Linked DNA regions of Mus musculus. The protein of the gene in region 3 purifies or fractionates together with the protein of the main gene of each other region. This does not show direct contact. Links are inferred from orthologs where the notes say so. Each region holds a gene or a part of one and is shown on either strand. Other genes may lie near its edges. The genes, in order: Rpap1, Polr2m, Polr2j, Med19, Gtf2b, Gpn1 and Gpn2.

The links.
Region 1: the proteins of Polr2j (region 3) and Rpap1 purify together in Homo sapiens (affinity purification with mass spectrometry; 5 studies listed by BioGRID and IntAct, with this or other methods). This does not show direct contact. The link is inferred for Mus musculus from reciprocal best matches to the Homo sapiens genes POLR2J and RPAP1.
Region 2: the proteins of Polr2j (region 3) and Polr2m purify together in Homo sapiens (affinity purification with mass spectrometry; 3 studies listed by BioGRID and IntAct, counting the BioPlex papers as one, with this or other methods). This does not show direct contact. The link is inferred for Mus musculus from reciprocal best matches to the Homo sapiens genes POLR2J and POLR2M.
Region 4: the proteins of Polr2j (region 3) and Med19 purify together in Homo sapiens (affinity purification with mass spectrometry; 3 studies listed by BioGRID and IntAct, with this or other methods). This does not show direct contact. The link is inferred for Mus musculus from reciprocal best matches to the Homo sapiens genes POLR2J and MED19.
Region 5: the proteins of Polr2j (region 3) and Gtf2b purify together in Homo sapiens (affinity purification with mass spectrometry; 3 studies listed by BioGRID and IntAct, with this or other methods). This does not show direct contact. The link is inferred for Mus musculus from reciprocal best matches to the Homo sapiens genes POLR2J and GTF2B.
Region 6: the proteins of Polr2j (region 3) and Gpn1 purify together in Homo sapiens (affinity purification with mass spectrometry; 5 studies listed by BioGRID and IntAct, with this or other methods). This does not show direct contact. The link is inferred for Mus musculus from reciprocal best matches to the Homo sapiens genes POLR2J and GPN1.
Region 7: the proteins of Polr2j (region 3) and Gpn2 purify together in Homo sapiens (affinity purification with mass spectrometry; 3 studies listed by BioGRID and IntAct, counting the BioPlex papers as one, with this or other methods). This does not show direct contact. The link is inferred for Mus musculus from reciprocal best matches to the Homo sapiens genes POLR2J and GPN2.

What each region holds. Positions count from the first base shown.
Region 1 is NC_000068.7:119,763,538-119,767,037, forward strand, and holds the end of Rpap1 (RNA polymerase II-associated protein 1), read right to left. Parts: intron 1,522-3,500; exon of another isoform or gene 1,379-1,521; coding exon 1,202-1,378; intron 1,067-1,201; coding exon 1,007-1,066; intron 908-1,006; coding exon 758-907; 3' UTR 422-757; downstream 1-421. UniProt on the Homo sapiens protein: Forms an interface between the RNA polymerase II enzyme and chaperone/scaffolding protein, suggesting that it is required to connect RNA polymerase II to regulators of protein complex formation.
Region 2 is NC_000075.6:71,483,184-71,487,309, forward strand, and holds the start of Polr2m (DNA-directed RNA polymerase II subunit GRINL1A), read right to left. Parts: upstream 2,801-4,126; 5' UTR 2,614-2,800; coding exon 2,501-2,613; intron 1,776-2,500; exon of another isoform or gene 1,552-1,775; intron 623-1,551; coding exon 1-622.
Region 3 is NC_000071.6:136,115,315-136,119,490, reverse strand, and holds the start of Polr2j (DNA-directed RNA polymerase II subunit RPB11), read right to left. Parts: upstream 2,801-4,176; 5' UTR 2,739-2,800; coding exon 2,686-2,738; intron 1-2,685. UniProt on the Homo sapiens protein: Core component of RNA polymerase II (Pol II), a DNA-dependent RNA polymerase which synthesizes mRNA precursors and many functional non-coding RNAs using the four ribonucleoside triphosphates as substrates.
Region 4 is NC_000068.7:84,676,917-84,681,201, reverse strand, and holds the start of Med19 (mediator of RNA polymerase II transcription subunit 19), read right to left. Parts: upstream 2,801-4,285; 5' UTR 2,758-2,800; coding exon 2,541-2,757; exon of another isoform or gene 2,374-2,540; intron 1-2,373. Other genes in the region: Tmx2 (thioredoxin-related transmembrane protein 2 isoform a precursor), read left to right, coding at 3,163-3,351. UniProt on the Homo sapiens protein: Component of the Mediator complex, a coactivator involved in the regulated transcription of nearly all RNA polymerase II-dependent genes.
Region 5 is NC_000069.6:142,778,747-142,782,246, reverse strand, and holds part of Gtf2b (transcription initiation factor IIB), read right to left. Parts: intron 2,556-3,500; coding exon 2,409-2,555; intron 2,278-2,408; coding exon 2,148-2,277; intron 908-2,147; coding exon 626-907; intron 1-625. UniProt on the Homo sapiens protein: General transcription factor that plays a role in transcription initiation by RNA polymerase II (Pol II). Involved in the pre-initiation complex (PIC) formation and Pol II recruitment at promoter DNA.
Region 6 is NC_000071.6:31,508,241-31,511,740, reverse strand, and holds part of Gpn1 (GPN-loop GTPase 1), read right to left. Parts: intron 2,443-3,500; coding exon 2,335-2,442; intron 910-2,334; coding exon 830-909; 3' UTR 1-829. UniProt on the Homo sapiens protein: Small GTPase required for proper nuclear import of RNA polymerase II (RNAPII). May act at an RNAP assembly step prior to nuclear import.
Region 7 is NC_000070.6:133,583,181-133,587,172, reverse strand, and holds the start of Gpn2 (GPN-loop GTPase 2), read right to left. Parts: upstream 2,801-3,992; 5' UTR 2,715-2,800; coding exon 2,304-2,714; intron 1,264-2,303; coding exon 1,107-1,263; intron 1-1,106. Other genes in the region: Gpatch3 (G patch domain-containing protein 3), read right to left, coding at 3,341-3,554. UniProt on the Homo sapiens protein: Small GTPase required for proper localization of RNA polymerase II and III (RNAPII and RNAPIII). May act at an RNAP assembly step prior to nuclear import.

The DNA.
Region 1 (3,500 bases), on a different chromosome or scaffold from region 3:
AAGTACCAGGGCTGGAGGATAGCTCAGTGGTCAGCGCAGCCAAGTCTGGTCTCTATACCCACAGCAGGGAGCTCAAAACCACACAGCTCCAGGGGGATCCAAAATCATCTCCTGGTCTCTGTACACATGCCATACTCACATACAGATGAACACACATTATAAAAAAAAGCCCACTGAGAACGGCATAGGAGAACTACACCAGGCTGACATTTGGGTTCTCTGACCTCAGCACTTCCAGGGCATGCTGAGTCCTCCAGGACCACACCCACTCCAGGCGCACTGTCACTGACTCCCAGGACACACACCTCTGCCACCCCCAGATGGTAATGTGTTTACCTCCCATTGTGACATTTTCTCCCATCTCTCTCCTCGGGAAAATCCATCCTTGCTACCAACTCTGAATGTGACAAAACAGTCCAGATCAGTCAGACTAGAAAAGAATTTATTTCAGAGTGTAGCACAGTAATTGCACATCCTGGTCTGGTGAAGACTGGAGGTGAGTGAGGAGAGCTGTGCTCAGACTGTCCTGGGCACCGCAGGGTAAACACTGAAGCCACCCTCCTTCCACGCCTGGCACAGCCCTCAGCCCCCAGATCCTGAGCTCCAGTATCATGATGTAATACGAGTCCCTTCTGTTCTAAAAAAGGCTCAAACAATGTGCTCACAGGAAGGCAAGTCTTGTGTTGCCTTCTCTCGGGAGGCTCACTGCTCAGTCCCAGGAGAGTAGAGTAGTCATCTTTAGCTGGGGGCAAGTGCCCTATGTCTTGACTCCTCCATTCTGGAGCCCCTCTGTGGGCAGTGTCTGAAGGCACTGCTGCCTCAGGCGAGGTAACTGGGAATACAGCTCAAAGCCCTCTGGGAGGCTGGAGTTGGGAAGCTTATAGTGGAGGAGATGCTGCCGCAGCCCCTGCAGAGAAGACAAAACCCATGAAGTGGGTGGTCAGTTTGTTGAGGTTTGGTACCTTAATGTCCTGTATCTTTTCCGTCCCGACACCCACAATACTACCTCATCTGTCAGCAGCCACGTTCTCTGCAGCATACTCCTTCGGGCAGTCTTTACCTCATCCTGGGAGTGGACGGAAGAGAGATATGACACAAAGCCGAGGACTGGTACCCACCCAGGGACTCACTTAACCCTCAGCCCATCCCCAACTGGTCCACCAGCTCCCTCCTTCCCTCTGAACATAGAGAGGTGACTTACTGAGCTCTTTGGGTCTTGGCAGAAGATGAAACTGTTGACATGAGCCACGGCTACAGTGTAGAGGATGGGGCACCAACGTGCACGGAGTGTACCAGTAACCAAGGCCCGGAAGTAGAGCTGAAGGAGAGGCAGGCTGTCTTCAGCAGGCTCTGTGTAGCACTCCAGAGGCACAGGCAGCTGTGACAGAAGGAAATGATATGCTGAGGGCCAAGTGGGAATGTCCATCAGTAGCAGCAGTGGATGACTGTTGGTCACATGCCATCAAATCACAGGGCAGAAATCAGGTCCTAGAAAGACCTCCCTTCTTTAGTGCCTGAAAGCTAAAGGGCAAAGACTGGTTGGTATTAGGGCATAGTTTACAGCCTGAGCGCACCTTCCTAGGATGCATGAAGCCCTGTGTTCCATTTCTAGTGCGCGCACACACACACACACACACACACACGTAAACACACACACACAAAGTAGATTTCTTTTTTGTTGTTGTTGTTGTTTTGTTTTTTCAAGACAGGTTTCTCTGTGTAGCCCTGGCTGTCCTGAAACTCACTCACTCTGCAGACCAGGCTGGCCTCGAACTCAGAAATCCACCTGCCTCTACCTCCCAAGTGCTGGGATTATTGGCGTGCGCCACCACTCCCGGTTTAAGTATTGATTTCTTAAGAGTATTTAAGGGATGGCAACTGCTCATGATGTAAGGTTAAATGAAAAATTCATTAAGCAGTAATTCCAATTTTATAAAAATATACAAATACACGGGGCATGGTGGCGCATGCCTTTAATCCCAGCACTCGGGAGGCAGAGGCAGGCGGATCTCTGAGTTCGAGGCCAGCCTGGTCTACAAAGTGAGTTCCAGGACAGCCAGAGAAACCCTGTCTTGAACCCCCGCCCAAAAATATAAATAAAAACAATACTTACTGAGCTGGGAGTGGGAGCAGGTGCCTATCATTCCTGCACATACACAGAAGGCCACGGCAGGGGTTACAAGGCTGAGTCCAGCCTGGGTCACATAGGAAGGCACTGTCTCAAAACCTTTATTTTCCCTTGAAACAGGGTCTCTTTATGAAGCTCTGGCTCTGAACTTCTACATAAACCAGGCTGTCTTCAGACTCACAGAGACTCAACTGCCTCTGCGTCCCAAGTGCTGGGATTAAAGGTGTGCACCACTATACCGGGCTCTAAAATGTTTTTAAATAAAAAAATTACTATGAGTAACTATTAAATTTTTAATTTTTTTATGTTTTAATAAATGTACATGTGCGTGTGTATGTGTGTGTGTTTTATGTACACGTGAATGCAGGTGGACATGCTCATGCAGGCATGAACTTGAGGACACTAGGCATCCTGTTCTGTTTCTCTGCCTTACTCCTTTGAGACAGTGGAGCTAGGAGTGGCTAGCAAGCTCTCTATCAACTGAGCTACAATCCTTAGCACGCTGAAGAGTGTCTGGACTCACCCTAGACTGGACTAGAACTCTGTATATAGCCTAGGCTGTCCTTAAACTTCTTCTTCTTTTTTTTTTTTTTTTTTTTTTTTTGGTTTTTTTCAAGACAGGGTTTCTCTGTGTAGTCCTGGCTGTCCTGGAACTCACTCTGTAGACCAGGCTGGCCTCGAACTCAGAAATCTGCCTGCCTCTGCCTCCCAAGTGCTGGGATTAAAGGCATGCGCCACCACACCAGGCTTGTCCTTAAACTTCTATTCCTGGGGCTGGCGAGATGGTTCAGTGGTTCAGAGCACTGACTGCTCTTCCAGAGGTCCTGAGTTCAATTCCCAGCAACCACATGGTGGCTCACAACCATCTGTAACGGGATCTGATACCATTTTCTGGTATCTAAAGACAACTACAGTGTATTCATATGTATAAAATAAATAAATCTAAAAACCAAAACAAAACCTTCTAATCCTCCTGACTCAGCTCCCGAGAGCCTGTGTTGCCAGGCCTGGTTCTCTTTACAACCTGTGAGCTGACTCTTTAGTCTGATCACCCTTTAGGGCTTTGCTTCATAGCCTTTTTCTAGTAAGCACTTAAGAGTCAAATTTTTCCCAAACTTCAGCACTAAGACAACCTCTCTCCTCCACCTCATCTTTTCCTTAAGGTAAAGTCCACTCCAATCTTTTTTTTTTTTAAGATTTATTTATTTATTTATTATATGTAAGTACACTGTAGCTGTCTTCAGACACTCCAGAAGAGGGAGTCAGATCTCTTGCTGGGATTTGAACTCTGGACCTTCGGAAGAGCAGTCAGGTGCTCTTACCCACTGAGCCATCTCACCAGCCCCACTCCAGTCTTTTAAAAATTCTCTGA
Region 2 (4,126 bases), on a different chromosome or scaffold from region 3:
ATGAGGAGGGGGCACTGGGTTTCTGGCTCGCATTTCTAGCACTTTCATGTAATGAGGCTTCTTAGGAGTCTCACTCTGCAGTTCTGGAAAGTTCTCAGTGCTGGTGTTTTCTTCTGAGGGTTCACTCTGGTCTGCAATTGTGATTTTTTGCAATTTAGTGATGAAGAGACTGTCGATGCTGCTGGAGATCTCTTCCTCTTGACTTGAAACAGAGTGCTGGGGGAGATGCTCCTTAACTTCGGATGAGGGCGCCCGGGCTCGGATGTGGGCAGCTGGGCTGCTGTTTACTGTGTAGCCAGCCTCCAAAGTCTCTTCATTGCCTCTGTGAGTGAGATGTGTAGGTCCCTGTGTTTCTGAGGTTGATTTAGATGACTTAATGTCTATTGAGGAACAGTCAGGATCTAATGATGAAGTATCAAGCATCAGGTCAGAACTCTGGGCCTTGTCTACATCGGTGTCAGCTCTTGTGGTTGCTTTTTGCCTTAGCTTACAGTCTACACTAACAGGATGAAACAGTTCACTTCTCCCTCTAACCTCTTCACGTTCTGAAATGGCAGCTTTCAGTTTGGCAACTGTGTCTGAGATCTTTTTACCTTTGTCGGGCAATTTGCAAATGAATTTTCTGTGGAGTGGAAAAAAAGAAACCAGCACATACATATTACAGGCATGTTTTTAAACATGGGGAACACAGTATTTAAAAGGCAAAATGGAATCAAAGAAAAGCTGGCTCTTAAAAGTTTAAAAAAAATTTTTTTTGATTTTTAAAAAATCTGGCTTAAGACAATAACCAAACACGTAAAATTATTCTAACCCCTCCCCCAAGGGAGTGCTCTGAATGGGAAATGAAATTCTCTCAGGGTGGAAAGTTTCACACCTGACCACAGGATGATGAGGTGTAGTCAAAACCCAAACTATGAGCAGGGCGTGGTGGCGCACGCCTTTAATCCCAGCACTTGGGAGGCAAAGGCAGGCGGATTTATGAGTTCGAGGCCAGCCTGGTCTACAAAGTGAATTCCAGGACAGCCAGGGCTACACAGAGAAACCCTGTCTTGAACCCCTCAACCCGCCCCCCCAAGCTATAAGGAACATGGTATAAAATTACCTTCAAGCCATGTGTAAGAAACAACTGAAACTTATATTTAAATTTGGGTCTTAACTCTACCCATACATTCCAAGCCTCCTAAAAATATAAAATAATGGTCTTAAGCACTTAGGAAAACATGGTTAGCCTGTACAATAAATATATGATAAGGACCAGTGGGTTTTAAGCCATGGTCTCTGAACCCCGATGAACTGAGGAATGCCAGAGGTTACATAATGGGATAACATCACTATCTTACAAAGGAAGATGGACTTGCTTATGTGGTTCTGTGTTTGAAAGAATTCTCAGTTGCTTCTGGCAAACTGCTAATATTTCTAGACTCAGCATATATAAACAGGAGTTCTTTGAGATGCCAAATAACTCTTAAAGAGTATAAAAATGTTCCAAGACCAGAAGGTTAATTCACTGCTAAAATTAACAACCCAATCTTGAAAAGTCAAAATACCTACCTGTTTCTAGTAGGAACCCCTCCTGCCAAATGGTCATTGGCTCCTTTCCCTCAGTGACAAAAATTCCCTTTCTGGTTCTTTTCCTTGGTTATATAACAAACAGGAGAAGGGGGCTAAACCTTGGGTCCTCTATTTTTCCTGATACATTTATTCCCACGTTTTCAACAGTATTAATGCCTCTCTGCAACTGAGTTCCTCTCGGTTTTTTTCAGCCTTCTCTCTCTTGTGCCTAATACTCATTCCTCTGGGTTTTAATCGGTTGGCTTTTAATTAACTAAATGCCTGCAATTACTCCCTCAACTGAATACGCCCAAAATAAAAAATTAACCTAAAATCCATCCCTCTCTCCCAATTTTCCCATTATTCTTTGTTGCTCCCCAGAAACTTCAACCACCTGTTAACTATTAATATATATTTGTCTCCAAATTATTACACCAGTTCCCCCAATCCCTCGATTGCCTTCATGGTCCATTTTTCCCTCCTTGCTGAAAAAAAAACCTCTCAGAAAATATCCTTTTGGCGTCTTCCTTCAATCCTGTTCCTAAACAAAGCTGCCTTTAGGCAATCAGCTATCATCTTCTCCCCACTACGCATGAACCAAACTTTCCAGCCCGCTCTCCAAATCTATGGTTGGGGAAAGAGTGGGGCTTCAGATAGAGAGAAGGAAATCCCACACGTTCCGATCAAGAGGCTTTGGTACCGGAGCTCGTTCAAAGCTGTAGTGCGAACATGAAATCGAGCAGGCGCGGCTGCCGAGTGAGGGCCGGGCAGCATGGAGCCATGCCCGCGCACAGGACAGGCCTGGCTCGGGAGGCCTGGCCACGCAAGGTCACCTTCGCGCGCCAGGCCGCGGGGCGGGGCGGGAGACCAAGTCCCCGGATCCCGATCCCTGAGAGCCTGTTCCCTGATCCCGATCCCCCGCAACCGCGACCCCAGGGCCACCGCTTACTCGTTGCGCAAAAGTCTCTCCTGGCGCCTCAACCTCTCCCGCAGCTCCGCCGAACTCTGCCGCCCCAAGTCCTCGGGAGCTGGGGGCTCGAAGCCGCGGGGCAGCGAGAACATTGCGCACGGGCTGCGGCTGGCGCGGCGGGCAGGGATCCCCGGCGGGGCCCACGGCGGGCGCTGGCTCCGCGGCCGGCGGCGACTCTGGAGCGCGAGCGGGAGTCGCCATTTTCCCGGAAGAGCACGGCTTCTCCGAGCCGAAGGGAGCTTTATTGAAATGCCGGAAACGGACAGGCCAGGACGAGGGGACGCCCGAGGAAGCGTGCAGGGGCGGAAGTTACATCACCGCCAAGGCGTCTGGGTTTGGCGGGCTTTCTCTGGATGGGCCTTTTGCTTTCCCGGCTTTTCGCCTGTGCACTGGGAAATATAGGACACTCAAGTCAAAGACTTACAAACTCACTTCTAATAAGTAAAATATGACGAAAGTAATAGAGCGTCGCATCTACGATTAAGCAATCAAAGTTTTGGACAAAAAATTTACAGGGATTCCTGAATGGACATTAATCACAGTTAAAATAAATAACGGGGTTATAATGATGGCTCAGTGGCTAAGAGGGCATACTGCTTTTGCAGTATGCCAGAGTTTGGGTACCAGTGCCCCTGTTGGGTAGCTTACAAATGCCTTTAGACTGCAGCTCCAGGGCACTTCACAAACTCTGGCTTCTCCAGACACCTGCGCACAAACACACACACATTAACATAATTTAGTCTTCAAAAAATAACAAGTGACCAATATAGCTAGCTATAATAAAATGCATATTAGAAACAATATAGTCAGGTATGGTCGTGCATGCCTTTAAGTCTGGCTGACTGAGTTCAAGGCCAGCCTGATCTACATAGTGAATTCGAGGTTGCAAAGTGACTCTGTCTCAAACAAAACAAGATTTGAATATTTGAGCAAGTCAGAATATCAGGAATTAGAAAGGTCGACCATGTCAACTGTTGGAAATAATGAAGAGCGACTGAGATTCCTACAGACTGCTAATGGGGGAGCAGAGGATGCAAAATAGTACAGCGTCTTTGGCAAGTAGTTGGACAGTTTCTGATTCGGGCTTTGCTGCCCTGCCCCTTTTTTATTGCTAGGCAGTATTGCATTGTGAGTTGTGTGTTTATGCTGAAGGATATTTGAGTTGTTTTCAGTTCTTAATGATCACAGATCAAGTCACTGTCAACATTTTTAATAGATGTTCATGTCAACATAAACTCTCATTTCTCTTAAGAGTGGGCTTATTAAGCCATATTAACAAAGGGAATAGAAAGGAAGAACGGCTCCACTCTTGACTTCCACGGCCTGAGAAATTCCTCTAATCTTTTAGGGATTTCAAACCAGGGTTTGTAACTTTGATGCTGAAAATATTCAGGACTAGGAGAATAGGAGTCTAATAAAAAATATTTTCATACAGGCCTAAGTATGAGTGTTCAGAGATATAAAAGTGCTCAAATGGAACATATACCCAGAGATGGGCATGGGCTTCTCAGGGAGAGTCACATTTCATTGTTTTTATAACACTTATACCTGATGGACTTCGAAACAATTATCTTTGAAGCATTGCTAAGAGATCTAAGAGACCAC
Region 3 (4,176 bases):
CTACAGGTCTAGCCCTGGGAGGCCTTTTTCAGTCTACTCACCAGTAAAGGACTCAGAGCTCTGGCATGGTTCAGTGGCCAACCATTAACCTCCCATGTGTAAGTCTCTGGGTCTCATCTCCACCACTCCCACCGTCCAAACAATAAACAAGGTAGGCCTGCCTGGTAGTTCAGACCAGTAATCCCAGCAATTTGGGAGGCTGAGGCAGGAGGATAGAGAAACACCTCAGCCATCACCCTGGCCTTTCTCTTTGCTTAAGGTAGAATCTCATTTGCCAATGGACACACTGTGCTTGTCTCCACTTCCCATGCCCCTGGAGAAACACTGGAAGCAGAACTCAGATCTACACACAAGTCCTCAGCATGACAATCAATCAATCAATAAATGCTAACAAGGAACCGCCTCTCCCCTGTGATGGCCTCCTATTTATATACCAGGGAGCATGGACTTAGCAGTCCTTGTTTTTGTTTGTTTTTTTTGAGACTACATTTCTTCGTACTTGATCTGTAGACCAGGCTGGCCTTGATCCCCCTGCCTCTGCCTCCCAAGTGCTGGGATTAAAGGTGGATTAAAATCCACCGCTCAGTTAAGGATTGCTCCTTTTTTCAAACTCGGTACACAAATATTTTCTTACTTTGTCCACGCCTGTCTGAGATAAGAGGACAACCTGTAATTGTCAGGTCTCTCCTGGTACCATAGTGGTCCCAGGGACTGAACTCAAGTCATCAGGCTTGCCTGCGGGTGCCTGCGCTCAAGCCATGTTGCCAGCCCAGAACATGGATGTTTTGGACCTGATTGTCCTTTTCTGGGAGCCTGTCTACTGCACCAAGGGTTGTTATCAGCATCCCTTGCTGCTATCCACCCGCTGCCAATACCAACGTGCCTGGGACAACCAGAACCTTTTCCAGATGGCCAAATGCTCTTGCTCATGGGACAACAACCGGGCTCTCAGTTGAGAATATGCCCCCAAGGAAGGCTGAAGTAGCTATCAAATGTCAATCACAAAACCCTGCCTCTTAGGAATGAGCAGTGTCGGCTACAGGTCTGCAGTGTACACTGTACTGGCAAACTCGGAGGATCTTGAAGAACTTCATTATTTATTGACTGATTGATACAGGGATGAAATGAGCCCCGTGCATGCTAGGTAAGCAATCTACCACTGGGGTATACCTCTGAGAGGCCAAATCTACTCCATCTTGGGACCTGCTACCTCCATCTTAAAGAAAAAAAAAAAAGCCGGGCGTGGTGGTGCATGCCTTTAATCCCAGCACTCTGGAGGCATTGGCAGGCGGATTTCTGGGTTTGAGGCCAGCCTGGTCTACAAAGTGAGTTCCAGGACAGCCAGGGCTATACAGAGAAACCCTGTCTTGAACCCCCCCCCCCCCCCGCAAAAAAAGCCTGAGAACTTGACCTACAGCAGAACCCAAGATGCAACCAAGTACCAGGAAGGACCTCACGGCTTGTCCCTTGGCCCATACCCCAGAGTTACTCCCTAGCAACAGTTAATCAAAGATTAGTCTGGTTGCTTCAGATCTACTTTCAGATAGTTTGTGATTGTTCATCTCCCTTCACAGCACCACCTGTCAGCTTACAACAGACATTCAGTTAGATACCTGCCAAGCTCCATACCCCGTCACTCCCACTCCCTAGAAAACCTTGTCCTGGGTTCAAGGCTGCTCTGCCTTCTCTTCCTGTCCTGTTGTGTCAGGGTTGGGTTGGAGGAGAGCCCAAGCCCGAGCTTGTGATAAAGAGACCCTAATGGAAACGGCTCCTTAATGATCTTTTGGGGTTCACAAACGATTCCTAGCACACCTCCATACCTTTTTCCCACTGAGATAGAGACTAAGCTGACTTCCAAGAAGGGGCACACACACGAGAGAAGGGTTACACAAGAGAGAAGGGTTCGTAGCAAACTTTGAGTCATCAAAAGAGTGTATTTGGCTACCATTAAGACAATTACATAAAGCCAGAGCCGGTGGCTCAGGCCGTTAATCCCAGGTAGAAGCAGGTGGATCGCTGAGTTTGAGGCTAGTCTGGTCTGCAAAGCTCGTTCCAAGACAGTCAAGGAGGATACACAGAGAAACCCTACCTCCAAAAGACAATTAGATGCTTAATCTCTAAACCTGTAGCCACTCGAGTGCAAAGTACTTCCCCCTGCTCTCTGAATGCACACAGACCCAACTTGCGTCTGTCTTACTTTCTTAGCGCTCTCTTCCTCTGAACCCTCCTGCTTAAGCCCATATTAAAGTATCTTTAATTAAAAACCCACCAATCCTGCTTCACTAAACCGAAGAGTCCTGAAATTCTTTTTAGCGTGGAGCCACGAACCCGGGTTTGGCCTAAGTCGGGATCCCTGAAAATCTAGGAGAAACCCTCAGGTTGCTGAGGAGTGTAAGAGAGCTGTGTCTCTGTCCCTTCACAGCTGTCATCATGAACCAAGTGTCTGGAGCAAGACACTCCATGTCCCAGAGCCTCCGATTTCCCACTGCAAAATGCATGCACGCGCCAGTGCTTCGCGCCGCTGCCTGAAGCTGGGCAGACTCGCATTGAGCAGCACGGAAGACTCAAAGCAAAGCCCGCCTCCCGCCTCGGTTTCCCCAGACAGGAGCAGTGCGGCGCTCCAGCGGAGCTGACGGCCGGCAGGCTCCTATGCAACCGTCCCCGCCTCCGCCGGCCTCCACTTACTTCTTCTCGCCCTCGAAGAGCAAGAACGACTCGAAGGCCGGAGGAGCGTTCATCCTAGCGCCGCGCTCTCGCTCCCCGACACCAACCCACAGTCTCCTTCCGCCAACAGAGCCCCGAAGCGCGACCACTTCCGGATTTCTCAGCCGCAGCCAATCAGTGTAAGCACCTGGCCCCCGCCCCCTAGCGGCTCGGATGACCTAATGCAGGCGCAGGCAAGGCTGAGGGCGAGCCGTGCGCATGCGTCAGTTTAGAACCCTTGTTCGAGGCGTCCATGCTGAGTGTTTTGGCGCGTGCTCCCGCGCCCGGAGTTGAGCCACCTGTAGCTGGCTCCCCGGTACCGACTGAATGGGACTAAGAGTCTAAGTGGGCTGCTGCTGCAGGACCCCCGGGTGGGCCGACACTGGCGGACTTATGAGGCCTTCTAGATGAGGACCAGTGGAGCAAGAAGGGATGTAAAGGTTGGGGAGGAGCTTGGGGTACCAGCGCATCTTCTCTTGAGCACACAGGTAACTAAAAACACGATGAAAGCTTTGCACCTCGCCATTTTTCAGCGGTCTCTGTAGCAATCTTTTATTTTTCCTATTTTTAAAGATTTTTATTTGCATATCTTGTATGGGCACGTATATGCAGGTGCCTTTGGAGACCAGAAGAGGGTTGGGTCACCTGGAGCTGGAGTTACAGGTGGTTGTGAGCCCCCCCTGCCCCAGTGGGTGCTGGGAACCGAACTCCAGTCCCCTGCAGGAGCAGTAAGACCCTTAACTGCTGAGCCATTTCTCCAGCCTCCCTGATGGCTCATCTTGTCAACCGGATGAAATTTAGAATCATCCTAGAAACAAACCCCTAGGAGGGGCCAGCAAGACAGCCCAGTGGGCAAGGGGGAGTGTGACCAAATCTGATTACCTAAATTCAGTCCCCAGAACCCACGTGGTGGTAGAGAACAGACTTCTCCGACCTCCCTTCACGGTATGCATTTACACATGTGTGCACTCACAATAGAGAATAATAATCATAACCATAATAAAGAACGTTTGGTTGTCTTTGGGATTCTAGACAGATTTGACTGAGGAAGACAGACGTGTATGGCATCATCCTAGAGGCTCAGGAGTCAGACTACAGCTTCCTGGCGCAGATGCAGTGTGCTTGGCTGCCTGGGAATCCTGTTGCTATGACATCTGCATTGTATACCCTTCCTTAAGATGCTTCTGGTTGGTTGTTTTTTTGTTTTTTTTTTTTGGGGGGGGGGTTCGAGACAGGGTTTCTCTGTGTAGCCCTGGCTGTCCTGGAGCTCACTTTGTAGACCAGGCTGGCCTCAAACTCAGAAATCCGACTGCCTCTGCCTCCCGAGTGCTGGGATTAAAGGCATGGACCACCACGCCTGGCTGCTTCTGGTTGTTGTTGTCTTGGTTTTGTTTGTTTTTCAAGACAAGTGTTTCTCTGTGCAACCCTGGCAGTCCTGAAACTTGCTCTGTAGATCAAGCTGGCATCGAACTC
Region 4 (4,285 bases), on a different chromosome or scaffold from region 3:
ACTAATCTTCCATGCAAAATTTCTAATGTATCCAGATGGATCTTGCGGGACCAGAGGGTCTGCAGCAGATCTAATTATCTTCTGGGTAGAAAACAGCAACAAAACTGTAACACAGCTAGGCAGTGGTGGCACTTTTAATTCCAGCACTTGGGAGGCAGAGGCAGGCCAATTTCTGAGTTTGAGGCCAGCCTGGTCTACAGAGTGAGTTCCAGGACAGCCAGGGTTACACAGAGAAACCCTGTCTCGAAAAACAAAAAACAACAAACAAACAAAAAACTGTAACACTATTTCCTTTGAGAAAACAACTTTCTAATTTTGTTTACCTATATAAATTCTTCAGTGTTTAGTTCAAATGACATCTTATTCTTGCTGTCATTTTGGCTAACACATTTTGAAAACTATCAGGTAGTTTTTAACATTGCTTCCTGTGTTGAACTATAAATAAATAAGACTGACACCCACAAAATATAAGCACAATCCTTAAACCATGTATTTTGGATCTCAAAAAATAGGCTACCTAAAAACTAGGCTTAATAATCTTCACTTCTCGGGGCTGGTGAGATAGCTCAGTGGTTAAGAGTGCCGACTGCTCTTCCGAAGGTCCCGAGTTCAAATCCTAGCAACCACATGGTGGCTCACAACCATCCATAACGAAATCTGATGCCCTCTCTGGAGTGTCTGAAGATAGTTACAGTGTACTTACATATAATAAATAAATAAATCATATATATATGTATATAATCTTTACTTCTCATAATCCCACCATACCTTGGATATTCAGTACTTATCAACTGATCTATTAATGGTATAATTAGAACAGGTAATGCAAAAGATAAACTGCTGGAAGAAGCTGGGCATGATGGTACATACTTGAAGGTAGAGGCAAGTGGATCTCTGTGAGTTCAAGGCCAGCCTAGTCTACAATGAATTTGAGACAAGCCAGGCTTACTGAGTGAGACCATGTCTCAAAAACCCAGTAAGATGGGCTGGAGAGCTGGCTTAGTGGTTAAGTGCATCAACTGCTCTTCCAGAGGTCCTGAGTTCAATTCCCAGAAACCACCTGGTGGCTCACAAGCATCTGTAATGGGATCTGATGCCTCCTTCTGGTGTGTCCATAGAGAGCAATGGTGTAGTCATATACATATCTTTAAAAAAAACAAAAAACAACTAAAATAAGGAAAAAGAAAACTGCCTTAACAGTCATTTCTTTATGCTTCAGTTCTCAATTAAAAAATACAGACAATACCTATCTATCTAAAAGGACTATAGTAAGTATTACATATTGTTACACACTGCACTGATGTGAACTTCAAACTATTTTGCTAATAAATACTGGGATAACTGAGGTTTTTATTTCTTTTTTGAAGCAGGATCTCATGTCTCCTAGGCTGGGCTTGAACTATAGCTCCTTCTGCCTTCACCTCCTGAGTGCTGGTATGGAGTACTACAAGTTCCCCAAGACTTAACATGTCCAGAACGCCTCTTAAGTTTTAGCTCTTCAAATTTTTTCTTTCCATGCCTTCCTAGTCTCAGACTACTGTACCCTTTGTACAGGACACTCACAATTCCTCTCTCTGTGTATATTTAGTTCTTTATTTCTGTAGGCTTTACCTTTAACATGTATCCTGTATTCATTTGCTTCCCGACCACTAAGCCCTGGTCCAAACCATTCCTTTTCTGAACACTGACTGGCAACTTCTGATTATCCTATTTTCATTTTTCATGTTTCTGCTGGATATCTAAAAATCACTAAATTAGATCATTTTGCACCTATATTGAAATGACTTCAATTTGAACTTTAAACAACCTACCTTGCCTTATAAAAGCCTCTACCTATTTCCCATCACTACTGGATTTTTTCCGCTTTCCTGAGTCCAATGTGTCTTCTGCCCCTCAGATATTCTAAGCCCCGCCCCCCAAGGTCTCCTGATTTAGTTTCTTGTACCTAGTATCTCCTCTCTATCCAAACAGGGATGGCTTTGTTTATTCTTGAATGCTACCTACTCAGAAATGATTCTGTGAACGCGACGCCTTTTGCAAGGCAGGCAAGAGTTCTACCACTGAGCCACGCCCCCCACCACCACAATTTCCCCGAATAATTTTATGAAAGTAAGAATTGATTCAATTCTAATCCTTTCTTTGAACAGGTTAATCTCCGAGTCCCTGACAAGGAAGGCAACTTGCTACAAACCAACAAGTTTGTGACAGACTTTAAACTAAAATCTTAAGTGTCTCCAGAAATGTTAAATCGGGTCTCCCGAGTTCTAAACAACGGCTCACGTTTTTATAGAGTCACAAACGGCAGTCAGAGAACCCGGATCACAGAACTTCTCGCTGAAGGTTGTCCCAGATATTCACACCCAACCCAAACCCACCCCAGAAAATCAAGTTATCCCTTAGGGTTGTGAATCGCCAAAGGGCTTCTGACACTGTTGCCCACTGGCCCCGCGTAGCCCTGTTATCTCACACCTAGCGGGACAGGCTAGCCACACCCTCACCTGAACTACAATCTGAGTGGCTACTCTTGGCCTACTACTCACCTGGCAATTCCCGCATCAGGTAGAAGGGGCCACTTCCAGCCGTCGACTTATCCGCTCCTGCGGGGGCCGAGGTTGCCGTCGAGGGCGGGGCTGCGCCTGGACCACCTCCCGGAGGAGGAGGGGGTGGCGGGGGTGGCTTTCCAGGCCCAAAGCCTAGGGCGCTTGGTGGCGGTGGGGGGTCAGTCTGAGCTCCAAACAGTGCCGTGAAGTTCTCCATAGCACTCTGCGCTCCTGGTTACCCGGGATCGGGCGTTAATTACTTTGATTGGACAGTACTTTCACAGGGTACCACCCTCTTCGTCTAAGAGTGTCCCATCATTGGATACATTAAGCCCCGCCTACCATCTTCCGGCAACTTACTTCCGTCGCCTGAGAGACTGGTTAGGAAGGTGGTTCGCAGACTAATAGCCAATAAAATGACTCAGTTAGAAAAGCGACAACGATGAGGACCAATAGACTATTTAATTCATTTTCTGATCTATTATAGCATCCAATAAGAGATCTACATCCGGGTCTGGAGGCGTTGCATCTGATATTTGGTCCAATAGAAGCCTTGCTGGTGGGGGCGGAGGACGAAGATTTGGGGAGCGGGAGTGAGCCTGCGAGAGAGTAGGCAGGAAAGATGGCTGTCCTTGCGCCTCTGATTGCTTTGGTGTACTCGGTGCCGCGGCTTTCTCGATGGCTGGCCCGACCTTATTGCCTTCTGTCTGCTCTGCTTTCCATTGCTTTCCTCCTCGTGAGGAAACTGCCACCGATTTGCAATGGTCTCCCCACGCAACGCGAAGATGGCAACCCGTGTGACTTTGACTGGGTGAGCGCCCCCTGCCTTACCAGCTCTCGACCTTGACCATCCCTGCCCTGCAGGTGCATGTGAAAATCTGGGAGCAGGTTTCGGGATGTAGCCGCCTTACAGACTGAGTGCAGAGCCTAGGCCGTTATCTAGTCATAACCTCCGTGTTTAAGATGGAGAAACAGATTACAGGGTTTCCATCACAGATGAACAGTATTCTACAGTGATTCCAAGCTACCTGGGGCGCCAGTGAAGAAAAGGCCAATAGTAGAAATACCATTAAATTTTTTTTGTTTAATTTTTAACGAAGTGATCACAGTGTAGTTAGGCGATTTCCCAAGGAAACGCAGCGTTCAGAAAGTGCTGTCTAACCTTATTCAATTCTCTGATAGACTGGCAGACGAAGGTCGCTGACTCAACAAAATAAATGACTTGGATGGAAAATCGAATACTCTGGGCATAGTAACTATGCACACTATCTTCCTGCGGTGGGATAGAAAAACAGGGAAGATTACAAAAATATGAGGTGTGGGGAGGGAGGCCCCTCAACCATCTAAGAAGCAGTATGTAAGAACAATTAACATTTGCCGTAAAGGTTGTGGACATAGAGCTAATAAATACCTATACAGGTATTTATGCTAAAATAGCAATGACCAGGACTTAAGGCCTAAAGGTATTGATATAACCTTGGGCAGGCCTCACATGTTCTGGGACTCTCAAATAAGATTAACTTTGTTTACATTAAAGATACAGTACTGTTGCCAGGCTTTGTGTTGTACCCTTTTGATCCCAGCTCTCTGGAGACAGAGGCAGGTGGACTTCTTTAAGATTGATGTAAGCCTGGTCTATATAGGATTTCTAGATCCATCAGGACTACATAGTTAGACACTAACTCAAAATGAAAGAGCACAACAGATACTCTACTTATCTCAATCCCTGTACTCTAGAGTCTTTC
Region 5 (3,500 bases), on a different chromosome or scaffold from region 3:
CATGTCATTGATTTCCACTCAAGAGTGCCCGCCTAGGGACTCGGTTTTTGACCATGTATGACCACAATCCCAGATCCTAGCTGAGATGTCATCACTCTGCCTAAACATAAACCCCCTCTTTAGCCTGGAAGTGTAACTTCACTGACCTCCACCTGTGAGATGGATGAACCCACTTGAGAGGTGCTTCCTAATAAACTTGCCTTTATCTACTTTAATCTGGTGGAATCTGGCCTATATCTGCATCACCCAGGGAGAGTAACCACTGAGAAGCTGTGCATGTTCCAGTAAATCCCTTCACAAAAGACACATATGAAAATTAAACAATTTAATTTGGAAAAGGAGCCTTGCACACAGGCTGTATACCTCTAAATAACCACTATAAGCAAGCTACTGTACTTTCTTGAGGTATTGTTTTGTTGTGAGGCTAGGAATGAAAACCAGGCTCTCAAGCACACTAAGCAAATAATCTCTTGGTGAAGAGGACTCTGTCCAATCCTTCCTCCTTATGAGTTAATGCTTCTTCAAGGATCTGAATAGTTAACCCTTTCCATGGGAGATTATGAGTAAGACCACTACACTCCCAGCCTTGCCATCTCATTGGCTGATGTCCTGATGAAGCTCCTACCTTTCTGTGTTCGCTTCTCAGCTGAAGCCTGGGAAGCCATGTAAATAGCTGCTGCCGCCACAGAGATCGGGCTCCTGCCAGGAACCAAGTCCAGCTCCACTGCCTTGCGGGCTATGTGTGTAGCTGCCATCTGCACTTGCTTGGGGAGGCAAAGGTTGGAGCAGAACCTGGACATGAAGTCCCCAGTTGTGATCAGATCCACGCTGGTTTCCAGAGCTTTCAAAATCAGTTTAAAACAGCGGCCAATTTCTTTCTTAGAGATTCGAGACACAGCACATATTTCTAAAAGAGAAAGTATTTTTAAAGAATTTGTAAGACAATTCATTTTATAAACTTTATTATAAAATTAAGTAATAAATAATTATTATTTATTATTAATAAATTATTAAAATATTCTGGTTGTAAAAAATTCAATCAAGGCTTAAAGATGAGCCCTAAATCCTCTCGGAAGTACTTCCTATGGAGCTTATTTATTCAAAACATATTGGTTTATATTTTCACCACACTTTGGACTGTTTTCTTTCAAAACACAAACTTATCTAGTTCAATTTATACAATAAGTTTCTCCAAGGAATCAACTTCTCTGACAGCCTGGTAAGAAATGTTCTAAGGAGAAGAAAGAAAACACTCAAGCTGGAGAATGCGAGTGCACATGTATGACCTGCAACTGTCTGCATGCTGTCGCTATATAAGCTAAACTCTTACCCCTGTTTGAGCTGTTACAGCAAAAGAGCTGTGCTAGTCATCCCTCTACCCGTGACTTAGGAAAGCTTATGAAAATGCTCATTGGATATGGTGACTATAGTCCCGACCTGGACCTGGTCAGTGATGGGCAGTGTAGGTATCACCACAACACTGGAGGAGTTTGTCCTGAGGAAACACAAGCTCGACAAAAGCCAGCACTTAAATCAGAAGTCCTTAGTTTGCATAAAACTGCAAACAATAAGCCTCAAAAAACAAAACAAAAATGAAACAACAACCTAATTACATTGACCCCTTCCAAGACCTGACCCCTCAAATGTGAAACCTATGCTGGCTGTGGTTTCCATCACCAGCTATATATGTAACTTCAAAAGCCTCTCCAGCAGATGATGTCAGGGCTCCTATAAAGCAGTCAGCTGTGGGGTTGGAGAGATGGCTCAGCAATTAAGAGCACTGGCTGTTCTTCCAGAGGTCCTGAGTTCAACTCCCAGCAACCACGTGGTGGCTCACAGCCATCTGTAATAGGATCAGATGCCCTCTTCTGGTGCCTCTCAAGACAGCTACAATGCACTCACATACATAAATAATTAAAACAAAAACAAAAAAAAAACCAGTCAGCTATACTGTTGACTTACAGGGATTAAAATGCTACCTGCATAAGCAGCTTGCAAAGAACATGGCAAAGAAGCCTGTCTTGTACATTTTTCTGTCAAAGAACATACAGAGCCACTGGCAAACGGTGTGTACATGGATCACTGTGCAGTGTCATTAAGCATTGACGCTGCCTGTCTGAGCTCTACTTGGTACAACTGAAGCCTACCTTTAAATGTCCTGGGAACGCCTTCTTGTCTACAGGCGATGTACAGACAAGCAGAGGCTATCGCGTCATTAGCTCTGCCCTTCAGGCTCTTCTGCTCATACACTTGCTTGAATAAATTATTTGTTCGATCCTTCAAAGCAGAGAAACTTAGTTTAATTAAGTCTAGGCCATTTAATCACTTACAGTATCAAAATTGTATGTATTCATTAAATTATGCAGAGTAAAGTCAGAATGGCTTGGAGGAGGCGGATAAGAACTTACAACTATATTGCGAGGGAGGTTGATTCTGTCCGCCATGGTCGTGATTTCCTTGAATGCGTTCATCATTGCTCGATCAGAGCTACTCATTGTTCTCCGGTTCTGATACTTAGAATTGCCAAACTCATCAAAACTTGCAGCTCCTGTACCCTATAAAACAAAGATTTAACCTTGGTCAACATTTTTGGAAAATGTGAACAGTGTCTATGAAAATGTAATGTACACACTCTGACTCCATATGCCCCGGGAGTCTGTCCAGTGGAGCCTGTGACTCAAACAGAAACTTCCATTAGAACATGCTTTAAAGAGGTTGGTTTCAGGAATACTTAAATCTTGGCAATTGCTCAACAATACAGAAAATGGAACTATATGCCATGTTAGAGCTTTCCTACTGCACAATCTTGCTTTGTTTATTTTTTGAGACAGGTTCTTACTATATAGGCCTTAACTGGCTACGTAGCCTGGAGAGATTCTCCAGCTTGACCTGCTGCCTGAAGACAGCTCTAGGATTGAAGTTTGTGACTATGGTGGGGTGTGTATGTATGTATGGCCTTTGGTAGAATCATTACTTGGGTCCATCACTGGTTCCCCATCTGGGGTAAACAGATGTTCATGTTGGATCTCCTCATAAAAAGTCTTACACAACTGATACCAAAGATGGTAACGTTGTTTGTAAAAATATGTAATAGGTATCTGCCTGTGTGTGTGTGTGTGTGTGTGTCTGTGTACCAGTGCATTACTGATGCCAAGGGAAATCAGAGGAATCCCTTAGGATTGCAGTTACAGTTTGTGAGCCAGGAATTTCACCCAAGTCTTCCAGAAAAGCAGCCAAATGCTCTTAATCCCAGCCCAAGTTTCTAATGTTGATTACAAGACTGTAATTTTTTCTTCTGTAGACAGTCAGCCTCTCTCCCCAGCCATCCCTGTCATTGCTCAATGGACACATGAACAAAGTGGCCATGGTGGTCGAGATGGAGGTTATGCTTGGGCTCAGCAACACGGACTTCCACTCACCAAGGCCGACCTGGCTACAGCTCCTGCAGAATGCCAGATCTGCCAACAACAGAAACCAACACTGAGCCCCAGATATGGCAC
Region 6 (3,500 bases), about 100 Mb from region 3:
AGGAAAGCTGATTTGGAGGTGTATCCATAAGAACTGCCTGGCTCGTGATTTTACTACACTCCTGAGAACCAGGGCAAATCCTAGCTCTGAATGGACGGAATGGACCAAATCCTGGTCACAAACAATGCTTTGTATTGTTCTAAGTACAATATAAGGACATGATTTTGGCCATGGTTAGGTGGATAGACATGGGAAACTAACCTACTATGCATTATATCCTACCAGACATGTCTTTAAGGCTTGGTCATAACTAATAGTGGGAAATCTATTAGTGATCACATACTTTCTAATATCAAACCATGACAGGAAAGCTTACCACAAAGTTAAAGTCAAAATCTTTATCCAAGTCACCATCCTAACAGTATTCTTGAAAATGGGCTACCTCGTGTGAGCACAGATCACATCCGACCTGGCTGCCCAGGGCACTGTGCTGCCCTCTGTACACACACACTCTCCTTTCCATCCTGCTGTGCCCACAGACCCAGCTAGTCAAGGTCCAAAGCGTCTCTGGGACAGACGTCCTCTCTGTCCATCAGCAGCAGAAATACTTGAGTTCAAACGATGATACTTGAAGTTATAGGCTCAGCAGCTATCTCTCAGCTTCCAGAGCGGTGAGAATACATCCTTGCATAAATATCGGGAGGAGCTACCCAAGAATGGGCATCCACCTGCCAGCTCCGCCTTCAACCAGACTTCATCTAAGCCCAGTTTCCCTCAGAGAAGTCACCATTTGGGAGAAAACTGCTCTTGACTGCAGCCCTGGTTCACAGGAAGGATGTCCTCTGCATGGAGACTCAGCACATCAGAGCTGTACAGCAGGTGGGAGGGCCTACTTGTTCCTCTTCCAGTGTGCCATTGACTCCTCCATGAAGTTCTGAAATGCTGGCTCTTCACGGCTTTCCTCTGTAACTGCAGGAGACAAGGGTGCTGTGTTTAAAACCTTCATAGTAGACAATGAATCAGAGCTCCTGTCATACACATACACACACACACACACACAGACAGAGAGACAGAGAGAGACAGAGAGAGAAAGAGAGACATACATTTTAAAATTATTTTTCACTTTTTCAAGACTGGGACTTGCTATGAATCCCAAGCTGGCCTAGAACCCATAGTCTTCCTGCCTGTCTCTCCAACGCTGAGGTTATAGGCATGTATGCGCCTCCACACCTGGCTGAAATGACTTTTAAGGAATTACATACTTACACCCTCAGTCAATGAAATGGCTTCTAGAACATGCAGCATCAAAGTCAAAAAATCCTAATCTGAGGTCTGCTCAGGCAGGCCAGAGAAAGAAGAGTCCACTCACTCACAGCCTCAGCCTAGCACCAGCACACGTGACTGGCAAACACTCAAACACTTGGGGGCTGGAGAGGCGGCTCAGCAGTTAAGAGCACTTGTTGCTCTTGCATAGGACCTAGGTTTGTTCCCAGCACCTACATGGTGGCTCACGATATCTGTACCTCCATTTCCAGGGGATTTATGACCTCTATGGGGACCAGGCATTCACATAGTACACACAGAGACACACAGGCAAGACACTCACACACAGAAAGGAAAAAAAAACAAAACCACATCTTTAAAACCCAACATTGCTTCCTCCTGTCTATGAGCCAGTAAAACAGATTGCTGGGGGCTCAGAGACATGTTTCTCATGTTTTCCCCCGGTAGAAGCAAAGGGGGCTCAAGAAATAGCTTTGTGAAGTTCTGCAATGAGCACAGCAGTCACTTGGAAGGCTTATGAAACAGCCTGCTGGCCCCCCACCCCAGGGTGAGCGACTCAGGATGTTGCTCAGTATCAATGCTTTTAGCAGGGGGTACAGCCTTCACCACTTATCAACCAAAACACCGGTAACAGACGGAAACAGCAGCACCTGCTAACTGAGTCAAACTCAGGAGAAGTAACAAGACATGAAAGGTACGTTAGTGGACCCTGCCCACTGTGTGGGGGCCACTCGCTAGACAGAGGTCCTGTACTGTGTGGCAGAGAGACCAAGCTGAGTACACGAAGACAAGTGAGGGGCATGCATTCGTTTCCCTGCTCCTGCTGTGGATGTCACCTGGCCTCTCCACAGCATGGAAGCTGCAATAGGAGCGGAAACAATCCCTTTCTCCACTGCATTGCTTTCCATTGGGCTATTTTGCCACGGCAACAGAATGAAATTAGAACACATAGCAAGGTCAGAACTCTTCACATGGAACCCTTTGCTGGTGCTGTGTGCTCTACCATCTTCCCTTTCCCCTGTCCCTGGCCATTTGCTCAGGATCTCCTCTCAACAGTGACAATCTCCTGAGTGGATGGGGCAGCTGCTATGTCCACCGGCTGCCTCTCACCTCTGTGGTCAATGTCATCCGTGTCACTGTCAGCTTCTTCATCCTCCTCATCCAAGGTTCCTCGAGTCAGGATCAAGTCAGAAGGATCCAGCACAGGAGATGCGTTGCCTAGGGTTAAAACACTGATCAGTACACGTGTCTTCTGAGCTGGCTCTGAGCTGTTATGCTGATCAGAGGGCAGCATGAGAGTGCGCTGGACCAACAGACATGCGGGAGAGTTTGTAGTTTTTTGTTTTGTTTTTTGAGACAGTGTTTCTCTGTGTAGCCCTGGCTGTTCTGGAACTCACTCTGTAGACCAGGCTGTTCTTGAACTCAGAGATCCACCTGCCTCTGCCTCCCGAGTGCTGGGATTAAAGGCATGCACCACCACGCCCAGCTACATTAGTTCTTATGTACAAGTGTTTTGCCTTCATATATATTTATGAGCCACAAGCAAGCCCCCTGCCCATGGAAGTGAAAAGAGACTGTTGGATCCTCTGGAACTGCAGTTACAGGTGGTTGTGAGCCATCATGTAGGTGCTGGGAATTAAACCTGGGCTCTCTTCAAGAGCAGCAAGTGCACTTAGCTGCTGACCCATCTCTCCAGCCCCAGGAGTATATATTTTTTAATATAAGCACATCCTAGACACTCACAGAGGGTCAATGATAAAAATAACAGAATGAAGGAAAGAAAGAGGAGTAAGGGAGGGATGGAGGGAGGAGGAGGGAAGATAGCAGAATACAAATAACGAGAAAAAAACTAAACAAAAAACAGCACAAACCCCTACCAGTTACCAGAGTAAAACAACATGTAGTAAAGAAGATAAAATCCACTCAATAATGTAATTAGAAATATGCAAAACATACGCAAGATAACATTCCAGAAAGACTCAAGACCTGCCAAAACGAAAATTCTTCCTGCTCTTGAGGAGGAAGAAGCAAGAGCACAGAGATGTCAGCTCTTCCTGGATTAATTTAGGAGCACAAGGAAACCTCGACACAAAGCTTCCCAGGAAGCTGGGTAAGCTGGTGTGCACGTGCACGTGGTAAGCTGGTGTGCACGTGCATGTGGGCCGTGAATGCAAGAACAGCCGGAGAGGACACAGTACGGGGAGAGCAGCCTGAGCAGGCGCTGAAGCCTTTTCTAAGACGGCCACATTTGAGGAATGTGCAGGCATTTAAGGAAA
Region 7 (3,992 bases), on a different chromosome or scaffold from region 3:
GTATCACATAACAAGCTGGCTTTGAAAGCAATCCTCCTGCCTTCCTCTCCCACGTGCTGGGATTAGAGACATGCACCACCACACCTTTTGGGACTGTTGTGAGGACTACAGCTTGTAAACCCATCATCTTGCCTTGTACACAGAAACAGTCAGTCAATGGTTGTCCACACCAGTGTCAAACAGGTACTGAGAACTATGCTTAGTCCCTGCTTCCTGAAGCTTGGTCAGAGCCCAGGGCCTTAGCACACACACTGGAAGGACTTAGGAAACGCTGGTCAAACTGAATCGCTCTTCAGTCCAGCAGCAAGGCCTCCTGGGTAAGGCACCTTCCCTTCCTGGGCCAGTTCCTTAGAGCAGGACCAGAGCAGATGCTCTAACAGCAGGCTTTTGCTCCATGCACAGTTTCCTAATAAAGAGGAAGAGTGCCCTGACAGCCACTGGGCTCCGTGGTCAGCTGCCCTCGAAGATGAGCTGACTGATGTGGCTGGCATCCTTCCATGTCCTCACCAGGCAAGGCCACTTCCACGTCATTTCCCAGCCTCCCCCTCTGCTCACCTGCTAGACATCAGCTTCCTTCCCTCTGTTCCTTTATGACTTCGGAGTTTAAAGAGCCCATGCTACTAGCACAGCAGAGAAATGATCTGGCAGAAAGATATGCTGGCCATTGCGACATGACACTACCCAACTCCCCTTGCCATGTGAGGATGCAGGGGTAAGGTGGCCACCTACTAGCCAGACCTTGCATCTACCCATGCAGGTCTTAAGACTTCCCACTCTCTAGAACATGAGGAATAAATGTCCGTTGTCTTAGGCACTGGGTTGATGGTAGTTTGATTACAACAGCCCCAACTAGGACAGCACTTTGCCTCTACTGTACAGGCCAGAACAGGTACCCAAAAGTCAGGGTGCCATGGCTCAGAGCAGTGAGCTGTGATCCACTCCCTTCAGCCAGCCACTGTACTACCACCTGTTTTAAATCCTTTAAAGCCCCATCTGTAGCTCTCATCTCTAAATCAACTGTGGCATCTAGCACAGCGCACAAAATAATGGCCAAAAGTCAGGAAGGCAGCGAGGTAGCTCCCTTCGCGCTGCAGGCAGTCTCTTACCCAGCTTCCCATAGTGTTCAATAAGGTCCATCTTGGAGAGGAGGTTGATGTGGGGCAATTCCACGTGCAGCATGGTGGCCAGGGAGGTACACAGGACGGAGATGAACTTGGCTGGGTCTGTGCAGTAGTGAGAATCCACAAGGTGGACAGCAGTCAGCTGTGAGCAGAAGGTACAGGGTGAGAGGAAGACTGACCTGGTGAGGGAGGACACTTCTGAGCCCACATCTCCCTCGAGAGCCTGGCAGCCCACGGATCCAGTGTACCCTTCCTTAGTACTGTTCTATTCCTTCCTTAGTACTGTTCTATTCCTTCCTTAGTACTGTTCTATTCCTTCCTTAGTACTGTTCTATTCCTTCCTTAGTACTGTTTTATTCCTTCCTTAGTACTGTTCTATTCCTTCCTTAGTACTGTTCTATTTCCTGTTCATGTGCCTGCTTGAGACAGGGCTTGATGGCCCAGAACTCTTTCTGCCTCCACACCACATTGCTGGGGTTACAGGCCTGAGATATTTTCCTGCCTCTTGTTCTTAATTTTTTTTTTCCAAGACAGGGTTTCTCCGTGTAGTCCTGGCTGTCCTAGAACTCACTCTGTAGACCAGGCTGGCCTCGAACTCAGAAATCAGCCTGCCTCTGCCTCCCAAATGCTGGGATTAAAGGCGTGCACCACCACCGCCAGGCAACTTAATTTAAATTTAATAACATCATGTCCTCCTCCAAGAAGATAGGGGGCAATTTTACCATTTTGTCCTTCCTACTATTCTGGGGACCAAACCCAGGGACTGTGGCCTCTGCTTGTTAGACAAGTTCTCTACCACTGAGCTAATCTCCAACACCTCTTCCAAGGTCTCTTGCACAGTTCCTGCAGTGGACAAAGGGTTCAAATCACACTGCACCTACCTCTCTACTCTTTCATCACACTTCTGAACACCAACTAACCAATCACTAAGCCACTTTCTGTGTAGTCACTTCCACTGTTTTTAAAATTGGGAACTGTCACATTCATTTTAGAGATGACAAAACTGAGTGAAAGGACTTTCCAAGACCATGAAATGAGTTGGGGCCGAGCTAAAATTCTATCTCAGAGGCTTTAGTTCTGCTTCAAACTTAACTCAGCCGCTATCTCCCAATGTAACTTGGGGGCGTGGCACCTATCCGCCTCCCGGTCTCAGGGATTCCTTCTGCCCGACCCGAGACACACCCTGAGGTCCCACTGGGCCATTTGGGAGAAGATGCTGCGTAGGGCGGTGTGGTGCGTGCAGAGCTCCACCTGGCCGGGGCAGTCGAAGAGAAAGTAGTGGCCTCGCAGGGGCTCCAGCTTGGCGCGCAGCCAGTCCAGGTTGGCTTCCAGGTACTCCATGCAGTAGAGCAGGCCACCGTTGGGCCCCAGGCGCAGCGCGTCCATCACGTCGCCCAGCCCCACCAGCTCGCCCACGTCCACCGCACACTCGTAAGGCAGTCCGTCGTTAGCGGGGTCCAGGTTCACCACCGCCACGCGCCGCCCCAGAGCGCGCAGGAACTCACTCATGCCCAGGCAGTACGTGGTCTTCCCCGAGCCCGGGGGCCCGATCACTGCCTGCCCGAAGGCCGTAGTCGGGGCGGCCCCCGCCATGGGTGGAGCTGGCAGCCCACGGGCGCCTCACCAAGTAAACTCAAGCAGAAAAACGAACAAACTACCCGGCAAGGAAGGGAAAAGTTCCGACTTCCGGATTCCGCCGGAACTTGTCTGGAGAGGAAGTCCCACCCACACGGCCACGGCATAGGCTGTGGTCACGCAACCGCACACCTCCGGTTTTAAGATTTCCCCAGGCTTCACTAAGGCAGATCTCCATGCCGGGTAAACTGGTTTATTCTCGCACCGATCCGTCTCTAGGCAGAGGGTAGACGTGGTAAGGGACCGCGACGCTCTCTGGATCAATTCTCTGGTCCCCTTTCCCAGCTTCACGGAGCTCTTCAGACAACCCTCAAACCCGACTGGACGGTGCCACAGGCAGTCCAGATCTTCACTGTTCTGGGCAAACCCAAACAAGCACTAGGGCCTGGAGACCAAGGGAAGGCCTTTAGGCACAAACACCCCAGGAGACGGAGGGGCTTTTGGTGATATCATCTTTGAGGTAGAGAAACTGGGCATGCTCAGGGCTGCTCCCAGGCTCTGGGCTGCTTCTCAGGTCCACAGGGCAAGATCCAGGCAGAGGGCTAAGTCCCTGCCGCAGAGTGATCCTGACCAAGGACATAGGCTCACTCGGGCTCAGGTCTGTCCAAGGCACAGCTAGAACCCTTCACAAAAGTCATATCTGTCCGAAACTTCATGCTGGTGGGTGGCTGGCGCCGGAGCAAGGTCTCCCCCTGGTCTTGGGGCAGAGGCTCATCATAGATGGTGGAAATGAGCCCCAAGCCAGTTCGACGGGGCCTCTTCAGTTGCCTAAATGGCTGTAACTTCTCTCCATGGTATCTGGATAAAACAGAGCTCTTGGTGAGAAGGCTGCTCTCTTCAAAGCCCAGTAAAGAGGTTAGCAAGAGACAGGAAGTAATTACTACATATCTGGTTTGTTCTATCAGAGCGGTCTCATGCTCATAGCACAAGAACCCGGGGCAAGGACACACTCACTCCTGAGCCACACCTCCAGCACCAAAGACAAAGCATTGTCTCCAAATTCTGCTCTCCAGCCTCTGGAGAGGAGTGTCAACTATCAGGGACCTGGGAATTTTCATTTCCACAACAGACTCCCTTATGAAGCCAAAACCCAGACTTGAGGAAATGACTTCCCTGAGGGCCCCGTGATCCTTTAAGTTGTAGGATTGGGTTTAAAATGAAAATAAGGACAGTGTCATCTATTTCTACACCTGCTGTGAAGCTGTTCATTTAGAGGGGCCCACACCCACCTCAAAA